2 linked regions of the Sus scrofa genome follow. The protein of the gene in region 1 interacts with the protein of each later gene in a pairwise test. Links are inferred from orthologs where the notes say so. Each region holds a gene or a part of one and is shown in the gene's direction. Other genes may lie near its edges.

Region 1 (4,385 bases):
ACCAGCAACCACTAGGGCTCTAAGCCAGGAGTGGGACCAGCAGAAAGGATGAAAAAATCTCCAGTTGTGCTGAGGAGGGAGGGCTTCCTGGAGGAGGCAGGGGAGGAATGGGCTTTCAAAGATGAGCTCAAGTTTGCCAGGCAGCAGGAAGGGAACTTCTGGCCGAGCAAACTTTGGAAGCCAAGGCACACGAGAAGGGAGAGGGTGTGGGGTTTGGTGTGGCCAAGCTTGGGAGAACCTGGGGCCGGGGGGTGGAAGGTGAACCGGAGGGGTGGAGAAGCTGCAGAGGCTGTGCGCTGGCTCCAGGGGCTTGCACCCTTGGCAACCGGGAGCCCGAGGAGAGTGCAGAGCAGGTGGTGCCCACTGTCCCTGTAGGAGCTTCTTGTACCGCAAGGGACAAGGAACGGCCTGGAACCAAGAGAGAGTCAGCCTGGACTTTAGCTTGAGGGCCTACCACCTTGGGTTAGCCAGGGGGGTACGTGTTCAAGGTGACCAGAGGACAGCCATCCTTTGTCATGCTGTCACTGCAAGGCCACCCCCTCCCCAATTTGAGGCACACTTAGATTTCGATCTCAGCTGTGAACTTGGTCAGGCTGGACAAGGAGGGAACCAAGTTCCAGAAAGAGAGAGGGCCACAGGGGCAGGGAGTTTCTAGGGTGGCAGGGCTCCATTTTCTCAAGCAAAAATATTCTCAACATCAAAAGAATGCCATGAGGTCAGCAACACGATTTTTCAAGGTTAAAATAAAATGCAGGAGTTCCCGTCATGGCGCAGCGGTTAACGAATCCGACTAGGAACCATGAGGTGGCGGGTTCGATCCCTGGCGTCGCTCAGTGGGCTAAGGATCTGGCATTGCCATGAACCATGGTGTAGGTCGCAGACGCGGCTCGGATCTGGCGTTGCTGTGGCTCTGGCGTAGGTTGGAGGCTACAGCTCCCATTCGACCCCCAGCCTGGGAATCTCCACATGCCGCGCGGGTCCTGGAAAAAACAGAAAAAAAAAAATCAAAAAAATCAAATAAAACGCACTTGGCTAAAATGTTCCTTCTGAAACCCACGAAGCAGGCCGACCCTGCAGGCGACGCCCCTCCCGCAGGCGTCCCCGAGCACCCCGCCCGCGGTTCTTCGGGGCCCAGGGGCCGCACCTGCCTGAGGCCGCAGGCGCCGCGTCGCTGGGCGGGGCCGCGCAGGGGGCGAGGCCACGCGGGGCGGGGCGGGGCTTCGTCCGGGGCCTGCGCGACGTCCGGGCGTCGGCTTCGCGCTGGGTCTTTGCCAGGCGCCGGCCGCGGCTCTGCTTCCCGGAACCTCTGCGCGGCGGCGGCGGCGTTTCCGGGGAGCCGGTTGGCGGGCGGACCTGGCTGTGCGGGGCGGAAGTGGGCAGCTGCGGTCCAAGCGGAGCCGCGCTGCGGGCGGGACCTGGCCGAGCTGGAGGGCGCCGGGGAGAGGAGCTCGGGCGGCCCCCGAGGCCCTGGCGAGCGGGCAGCTGCTGGGCCTGCGGCTACCGGATCGGCGCCCGGGGAGCGCGGAGGGGATGGGGCGCCGAGCCGGGTGGGGGCGGGGGCCTCGGCCATGTTCGCGGGGCTGCAGGACCTGGGCGTGGCCAACGGCGAGGACCTGAAGGAGACGCTGACCAACTGCACGGAGCCGCTTAAGGCCATCGAGCAGTTCCAGGTGGAGCCGGGTGGAGGGGCCGGGTGGAGAGGCCGGTGGCTTGGGTGTGTGAGTCCGGCGGGGGGGCGGGGTCCGTGGGAAGTGGGCGGGCTTCTCTCCCTGCAGGTAGCTGCGTCTCTTCCCCGGGAGGGAGGAACCGGGTGTCCTGAACTAGGACGACGTCGACTGCGATCTGAGCGGTTTCCAGCTTTTGCAGTTACAGCCCAGCCAGCGCAGCTGGGAACGTCCTTGCAGCTGCCTCCCTGTGTACTCAGCATAGGGGTGCCTGGCCAGATGTGGCTGTGGCTGAGGTTTCTCTTGCCGCCCGGGGTAAGCAAAATCGACCTCACCTTGGCCCTCCGCTTCCTTAGACAGAGAATGGCGTGCTGCTGCCCTCCCTGCAGTCGGCCTTGCCCTTCTTGGACCTGCATGGGACACCCCGGCTGGAGTTCCACCAGTCGGTGTTTGATGAGCTTCGGGACAAGCTGCTGGAGCGGGTGTCAGCCATCGCCTCCGAGGGGAAGGCTGAGGAGAGGTAGGTGGGCAGGTGCGATGTGCGGCCCCCTCCCAGCACTCACGGTCCGCATGTCCCCCGGGGTCCCGCCTGCGCACACCACCTGTCTAGGGTCAGGCAGGTAGGTAGTTGCTTCCGACTTCTTCTGTGCTGCCTCCCTCAGTCGTGCCCGTTTTTCCAGGTACAAGAAGCTGGAAGAGCTTCTGGAGAAGAGCTTTTCTCTGGTGAAGATGCCGTCTCTGCAGCCGGTGGTGATGTGCGTCATGAAACACTTGCCCAAGGTAAACCTGCGAGGCCAGCTGGGCCAGGCGTTGGCTGGCTCCTGGGAGGTTTCCCGAGCTGCCTGCTGGCGGCCGCACAGCTCCGGGCCTGTTTCCGTGCTGGCCTCTCCCTGAGCCACGCCGCCTGAAGCTGGGCACGTGCTTTGGGGCACGGAGCTCTTTCTGGGTAAAAACTGACTACACCTGCCAGGGCCTGGGGGACCAGTCCCAGGTGCCCCCCCGTGGGTTGGACTGGGCTGGATGTGATCTCTGTGGGGGGGGCTCTTGATTTGTCTTGAGAGACCCCTGGGGCCCAGGGGTTGCTCACAGGTGGCCCGTGGGGTCGTGTAGGTGCCTGAGAAGAAGCTGAAGCTGGTGATGGCTGACAAGGAGTTGTACCGGGCCTGTGCCGTGGAGGTGAAGCGGCAGATCTGGCAGGACAACCAGGCGCTCTTCGGCGACGAGGTCTCCCCGCTGCTGAAACAGTACATCGTGGAGAAGGAGAACGCGCTCTTCAGCCCCGAGCTCTCCGTCCTGCACAACTTTTTCAGTCCTTCCCCCAAGACGAGGCGCCAGGGTGAGGTGAGGCGGGGCAGGGCTGTGCGGGGCGGGCACGTCCAGGGCCACCCTGGCCAGTCCCGTTCCCACTCCCGTGAGCGCTGGCTTGTCCGCTCCAGGGCAGTGGGCCTGGCGCGGCTGGATCGCAGCGCTGTGCTTGGCGTGGGTCTTCTGGGTCTTTGACCTGCCTCCACTCGGCAGCTCGGCAGGCCTTTGCGTTAAGCTCTCGTGTCTTCTTTCAGCCGTGGGGATTTTCCTCTTTTTATGTTGGTTATTCCTTGTCTCAACACATGCTTCTGGGTGGCGACTGGCTGCCTCGGAGGTCAGGGCACTGCCTGGGTCCTCAAGCTCTGGCGCGGGGCGGTTCCATGCAGCAGACGTTGCTGTCAGTCGTCCGGAGCTCCAGGGCTGGCTCCAGGGCTGGCTGACGGCTGTGGAGGCGTGCGGCCGTGGGGCGAGGCGGGCTGGGACGGCCAGGGTGGCCTCTGGAGGTGAGGAGGAGCTGGCTCCGGGCGTGAGCAGAGCCGAGGAGGGAGCAAAGGCCAGGGTGTCTGGGGTGACAGGCGGCCCTGTGTGCTCCCTGGAGCACGCTGGGGAGGCAGGGTGAGGTTGGGGGCGTTGGAGGCCTTTCCTGGTGAGGTGGGGTCCAGGGGCTGGCCAAGCGTCAGGGTGACCCCTCACCCCAAGAGGCCAAATGTTGGCCGAGCAGCGTTGGCTGCTGCCTTCGCGGGCGGCCTCCCCACCTGGGTGTGTGTGTGCGGTGAGGCAGCTGTCGCCTAACCTCTCCTGGACGTCGGGCCAGTGCTCACAGCACCGCTTCCTGGCCAGGCCGCTGAGCGTGCCTCTGAGCGCTGCCCTCGTTCCCTGGCATTTGTCCTGGGGGACGCGTGGTCCTGCTCCTCCTTCACTCTCCCCTCCAGCCAGGGGCCCCTGGGGGCTGGGGCCTTCCTGCCGCCCCTAAGTGCAAGGGCAGAGCGAGCGGCCGCTGACAGGTTACCCAGGGCCCTCGGGTGGGTCGGCTGCAGGGGCCACAGTTCTGTGCCCCGCCTGCCCGCGGCCCGAGCGTCGCCCCCTCCTGGTGGCGGTGGGCAGGCCTGGCTGCGCAAGGCCGTGCACGTTCCTGTTCCACGTTAGAGGTGCTGGGGCTGGGTGCCGAGACTTTGGGTCGTGCTCTGGGTCTGCTCGGCTTGCCCGGGTCCCTGAGGCCAGCTGCAGGGGCCTGGCCGGGGCCCTGAGGTAGGGGGCTGTCCCCGCGGGTGTCTGCTCCTGCTGCGTGTCCCCCAGCTTGCACTGTGCATCCTCACGGCCTGTCAGCCCCAGGGGAGCGCCTCCTGTTGGCTGCTGCCCCCTAGGGGCAGGTGCGGAGGTGGGGCCCCAGCGGGGCGGCTCCGGGTGCTGGTCTCC
Region 2 (4,572 bases), on another chromosome or scaffold:
CTTGTGGCCCCTGACCTCTTACCTCCTTGTAGCCTAGTATCTGGCCTGTGGTTGGGTGTCTTTGGGCCTGCAGGTCGGAGGGGACTGGGGCCCCCAGTGCGGCCAGGAGAGACCAGGGATCCATCTTCCTCTGCCATTTTCTGGACAGAAAGAAATTTTCAGCTCTTTCTCCTCTGTCTCAACTTCCTTCAGGAACCCATTTCCCCTAGTCCAGGCCCCTCTAGACTCCTCACCGGGCTGAGTGCTCCACACCATGCAGAGGCAGCCAGGCTGGAGAGGACAGAAACAACTGTTCTGCTTCTTGCTGCAGATCTGGGGCACAGGGTGGGAGGCCGTGGGGAAGCTGGAACAGGGCAAGACGAGAGGCATGAGGCAAGGAAAGAGAGTAAGACACAGACAAAAGAGATGGTGACGGGCTTCATGTTTAGATCAGAAATGGTAGGTGTCCCATACAGGCTAGGACAATTAGGCTGAAGCAATAGTTTCCAAAGGTTGTCCTACTTTATAGGAAAAACTGACCTGCAACTGAATTATCTGGAGAGCTGTTTAATAATATAGATTTTGGATTAAAGAATTTCTGGAGATGGACCTAAGAATTTCTAATTTAGGAAAGCTCCCCCTCTAATCATGAGGCACACAGATTCTGATAATCACTAGTTTTAGGAAAAGGAGCCCCAGACCTAAGGATGAAAAACCGAAGGTGCTCAAGGGCTGACCTATCAGCCACCAACAAGTGCCCTGGTGCTTGGAGACAGAAGAAGATGCCAGGGAGAAAAGACCCACTGGAAAGAGCAGTTCTCAGAGCTAAAGTTATCCCCAGGGCTCCCTGCTCTGTCTTCTCATGGGCTCTGACGCACTGCAGGTCGACTGGGTTGGGATCCATCCCGCACCAGTCCAAAGCTGGGATGACAGGTGTCCAGAGACAGGTGAGCCAGGTCAGGTTAGACCCTACTGTGAGAAGGCTGAAAGGGGTTTTAAGCCCTATTAATAAGGGTCAAGGTTAGGTTAGAGCTAAAAGTCACTCACGGTGCTCTCTGGAGCCCCAGGCACATTCAGCAGCTCCCAGCGCCCGGTACATCCTAGCTCCAAGGCGCGGAGGGGCAGATCCAGGGGATCTGGGGTAGGCAGCACTATGGGAGGAAAATCACAGGTCAGGGGTCAAGGGTCATTCCCTGTCTCCTCCTCCTTCCCACCTTCTGCCCCCTCACCGAGTCGCTCCGTCTCCATCATCCTGGAGCCACGGTAGCTGCCGGGCAGCCCGGAAGTGTAGGGAGGAGCCGAAACCCGCGGAACTAGCGGCGACTTCCGGAACACACCCCGCTGGGGGCGGGGACGAGCACTACCGAGGGGCGGAACCCAAGCTGGTGGGAGGCCGGACGGAAGTGTGCGCGCCGCGAGCCGCCTTGGTTACCGCGGTCTCCGCCCCTCGCTACGTCATCGCTCCGAGCCAGCGATCCGCTGCCCGCGCGGGCGCCGCCCGAGACCGTGGGGCTCCGGTTGCCGCCCCCTCAGGTAAGGCCTTCTCCGTCTCACCCTTCGCCCCTTTTTTCCGAGCTCCTTCTCTCTTCTTGCCCTGTTCGTTGCTCTGAGAGCGCTGCGCGGGTTCCACTGCCTCCTCTGCTTTTCGGACCCTGCGAATGCCATACTAACCCCAGCGAGGTAGGGGGGGTCTGGTGCCATCGTCTTCGCGACGGAGGGGGTGTTTCTCCCTTCCTGGGCTACGTGGTGCCCCAAGGCGCTGGTATCCGTGATTCCCGGAGAGAGAAGGGAATGCTGGTTGATCCCGACGAGCGGGGGCTTGGACGGCAGCTGGTTTAAGCAAGGGGTAGGGAGAGGCAAAAGACAGGAGTAGGCAGGCCTGGAGGGGTGGGATTGGGTGCAGTGTGGACGGCGTGTGACCCCTGGGCGGTGACAGTGGAGAAAGATGTCTTGGGCCCTGCCCCTGAACCAGGAGCCACCATGTTGGTGATACCCCCCGGACTGAGCGAGGAGGAGGAGGCTCTGCAGAAGAAATTCAACAAACTCAAGAAAAAGGTGAGGGAGTGTGTGTGGGCATGGCCCAAACTTTCAAAGACTCTACACTGAGAACACCTGGGGTGAGTGTGAGGGGATGGGGGGGTGGGGGTTCTTCTAGCTCATACCTAGAGACATGGCACCTCTCAGTGTCCCTTCATGGGTGGACTTTCTCAAGGTGGATACTTGCTTTTCTCTCTTTTCTGTATAGTCTGCCATGGAGGTGTCTTCCTTTCCTCCGGCTTTTAGTACCACCTAAGAACTGGTGATCCCAGGCTTGGTTTTTTTTAGTTCCATCTGTATCTTGCCAATAACCTTCATATATTGCCGCTCTGGTCTTACCTATTCTAATCTTGGTCTTCCAAATAGGACTGACTCCATTCACTTCTCCCGCTGTTTGGAATCCAGATCTCGTCTCTGTCTTATTTGCGTAGCCAAATGTTTGCCGAGTCGTCTTGATTCCTCCTTTGAAGTAACTTCTTCTGTTTACTCCTTCCTGTGTATTCTCGCAGTCAGGCCTTTGCTGATGCTCACCTAGACTGTTGTAATCGTCTCTCAGCAAGTTTCTTTTTTCGACAGACTTTTTTACTTCTATTAAAATGGTGCTTTGAAAACAGAAAACACTGTCCTTCTTTTTCTCAAAAGCCAGTGGTTTCACATTGTCTATAAAAGAGCCTTAATTTGGCAGCCCTTCCTCGTCAAATAGAACTATTCCTGGGAGTTCCCGTCGTGGCGCAGTGGTTAACGAATCCAACTAGGAACCATGAGGTTTCGGGTTCGGTCCCTGCCCTTGCTCAGTGGGTTAACGATCCGGCGTTGCCGTGAGCTGTGGTGTAGGTTGCAGACGCGGCTCGGATCCTGCGTTGCTGTGGCTCAGGCGTAGGCCGGTGGCTACAGCTCCGACTCAACCCCTAGCCTGGGAACCTCCATATGCCGAGGGAGCGGCCCAAGAAATAGCAACAACAACAACAACAACAACAAAAAGACAAAAAAAAAAAAAAAAAAAAAGAACTATTCCTTAATCCCAAAACACACACACATACACACACACACACACACACACACACACACACACACACCCAGAGTCTTATCTCTGCATCTTTGCCGCCTTGTTTTCTTTGTCTAAAATGCCTTTTCTTTTCTGTATGTTATTGTAGATTCTATCCAGGGCTCAGTTTAATGTGGGCATCAGGAAGGTCTTACTTGCTCTCAGCTATAGTCTACACTTCTTTAATCAGTCTTGACAATTTAGTCTGGTCATCTTATTTCTCAAACTCTAAGCTTCTTGAGGGGAGGATTTCCGTCTCATACTTCTGCATAGACCTGTTACAGAAATTCCTAGTGATGCTCTTTCTGATTAAACGTTTAGGGGGCGGACAGGTGAAGCCCCCAAGAAGGCATGGAGACTTACACTTAATTGCAGCTTGTATCTGCAGACTCTGGTCTATGATTAAACCCCTTGTCTTCGACTTGAGAAACGTGAGACTCTGGAAAGCCTCTGGATACTGTGGTTTGAATAGATTAGGTGTTGTTAGCATTGTAGATGCTCTGGGGGACCATATGTGAGAGGCAGGGCTGCCTCAGTGTGCCACTCTAGGGGCACCATTTGCATTATTTTCTCTGAGAAAGTTGTCCCCTGGAGTGATGTGCCCAGGGGCCTTGGGAGAGGACCTGGGCAGGGACTGGCCCTCACTGACCCCTCTCTTCTCACTCTCATTCCCAGAAAAAGGCATTGCTGGCTCTGAAGAAGCAAAGCAGCAGCAGCACTGCCAGCCAAGGTGGTGTCAAACGCTGTGAGTGACAGGGGAAGTGGGGATAGACCGGAAGTGAGGAGCCCAGGCCGACCTCTGTCACAGCCTGGCCAACACAAAGCCTCTTTCCCCCGCCACTCCAGCTCTGTCAGAGCAGCCCGTGGTGGACACGGCCACAGCAACTGAGCAAGCAAAGCAGCTGGTGAAGTCAGGAGCCATCAGTGCCATCAAGGCCGAGACCAAGAACTCGGGCTTCAAACGTTCTCGAACTCTAGAGGGGAAGTTAAAGGTGAGCACAGGGAGAAAGATGGTTCAGGGCATCCGTGACTTCAGAGGGATCCTGCCAAGTTGGAACAGAGGTAGGTTTAGGGGGAAAGTAATGCTGGTTCAGTCCTGGGCAATTGCTCTGCCATTCTGAGCTTCAGGTTTCTTACCTCGAAAATGAAGGAGCTAGATGACTCCTAGATTCTTCTTTATTTTACACTTTCTTTGGCTCTAATCCACCTCATACTCTGAGAAGTTGAATCGAGATAGAAATGTCATCAGATCCAAGACTTTTTTTTTTTTGCCCACATCCATGGCATGTGGAAATTTCCAAGCTAAGGATCGAACCTATGCCACATGGCCCAAGCTACAGCAGTGACAACACTAGATCCTTAACCGTTAGGCCACCAGGGAACTCCAGAACATTCTTAGATAACTTACATGCTTTAAGTGTGTATTAAGTTATTTATGAAAAAAAAACACATAGTCAAATAAGAAACATATAAAAGAGTTAAAAGAAAAAAAGACAGGCCGGGGGAGCCAA

What was found. The genes of interacting proteins can lie anywhere in the genome.
Region 2: the proteins of NELFB (region 1) and NELFE interact in binary tests that used the Homo sapiens proteins (3 or more experiments, as listed by UniProt). The link is inferred for Sus scrofa from reciprocal best matches to the Homo sapiens genes NELFB and NELFE.

Annotation. Positions count from the first base shown.
Region 1 is NW_018084833.1:653,200-657,584, reverse strand, and holds the start of NELFB (negative elongation factor B), read left to right. Parts: upstream 1-1,340; 5' UTR 1,341-1,415; coding exon 1,416-1,670; intron 1,671-2,020; coding exon 2,021-2,184; intron 2,185-2,344; coding exon 2,345-2,444; intron 2,445-2,774; coding exon 2,775-3,005; intron 3,006-4,385. UniProt on the Homo sapiens protein: Essential component of the NELF complex, a complex that negatively regulates the elongation of transcription by RNA polymerase II.
Region 2 is NC_010449.5:24,043,765-24,048,336, reverse strand, and holds the start of NELFE (negative elongation factor E), read left to right. Parts: upstream 1-1,404; 5' UTR 1,405-1,512; intron 1,513-1,951; 5' UTR 1,952-1,959; coding exon 1,960-2,034; intron 2,035-3,736; coding exon 3,737-3,806; intron 3,807-3,907; coding exon 3,908-4,053; intron 4,054-4,572. UniProt on the Homo sapiens protein: Essential component of the NELF complex, a complex that negatively regulates the elongation of transcription by RNA polymerase II.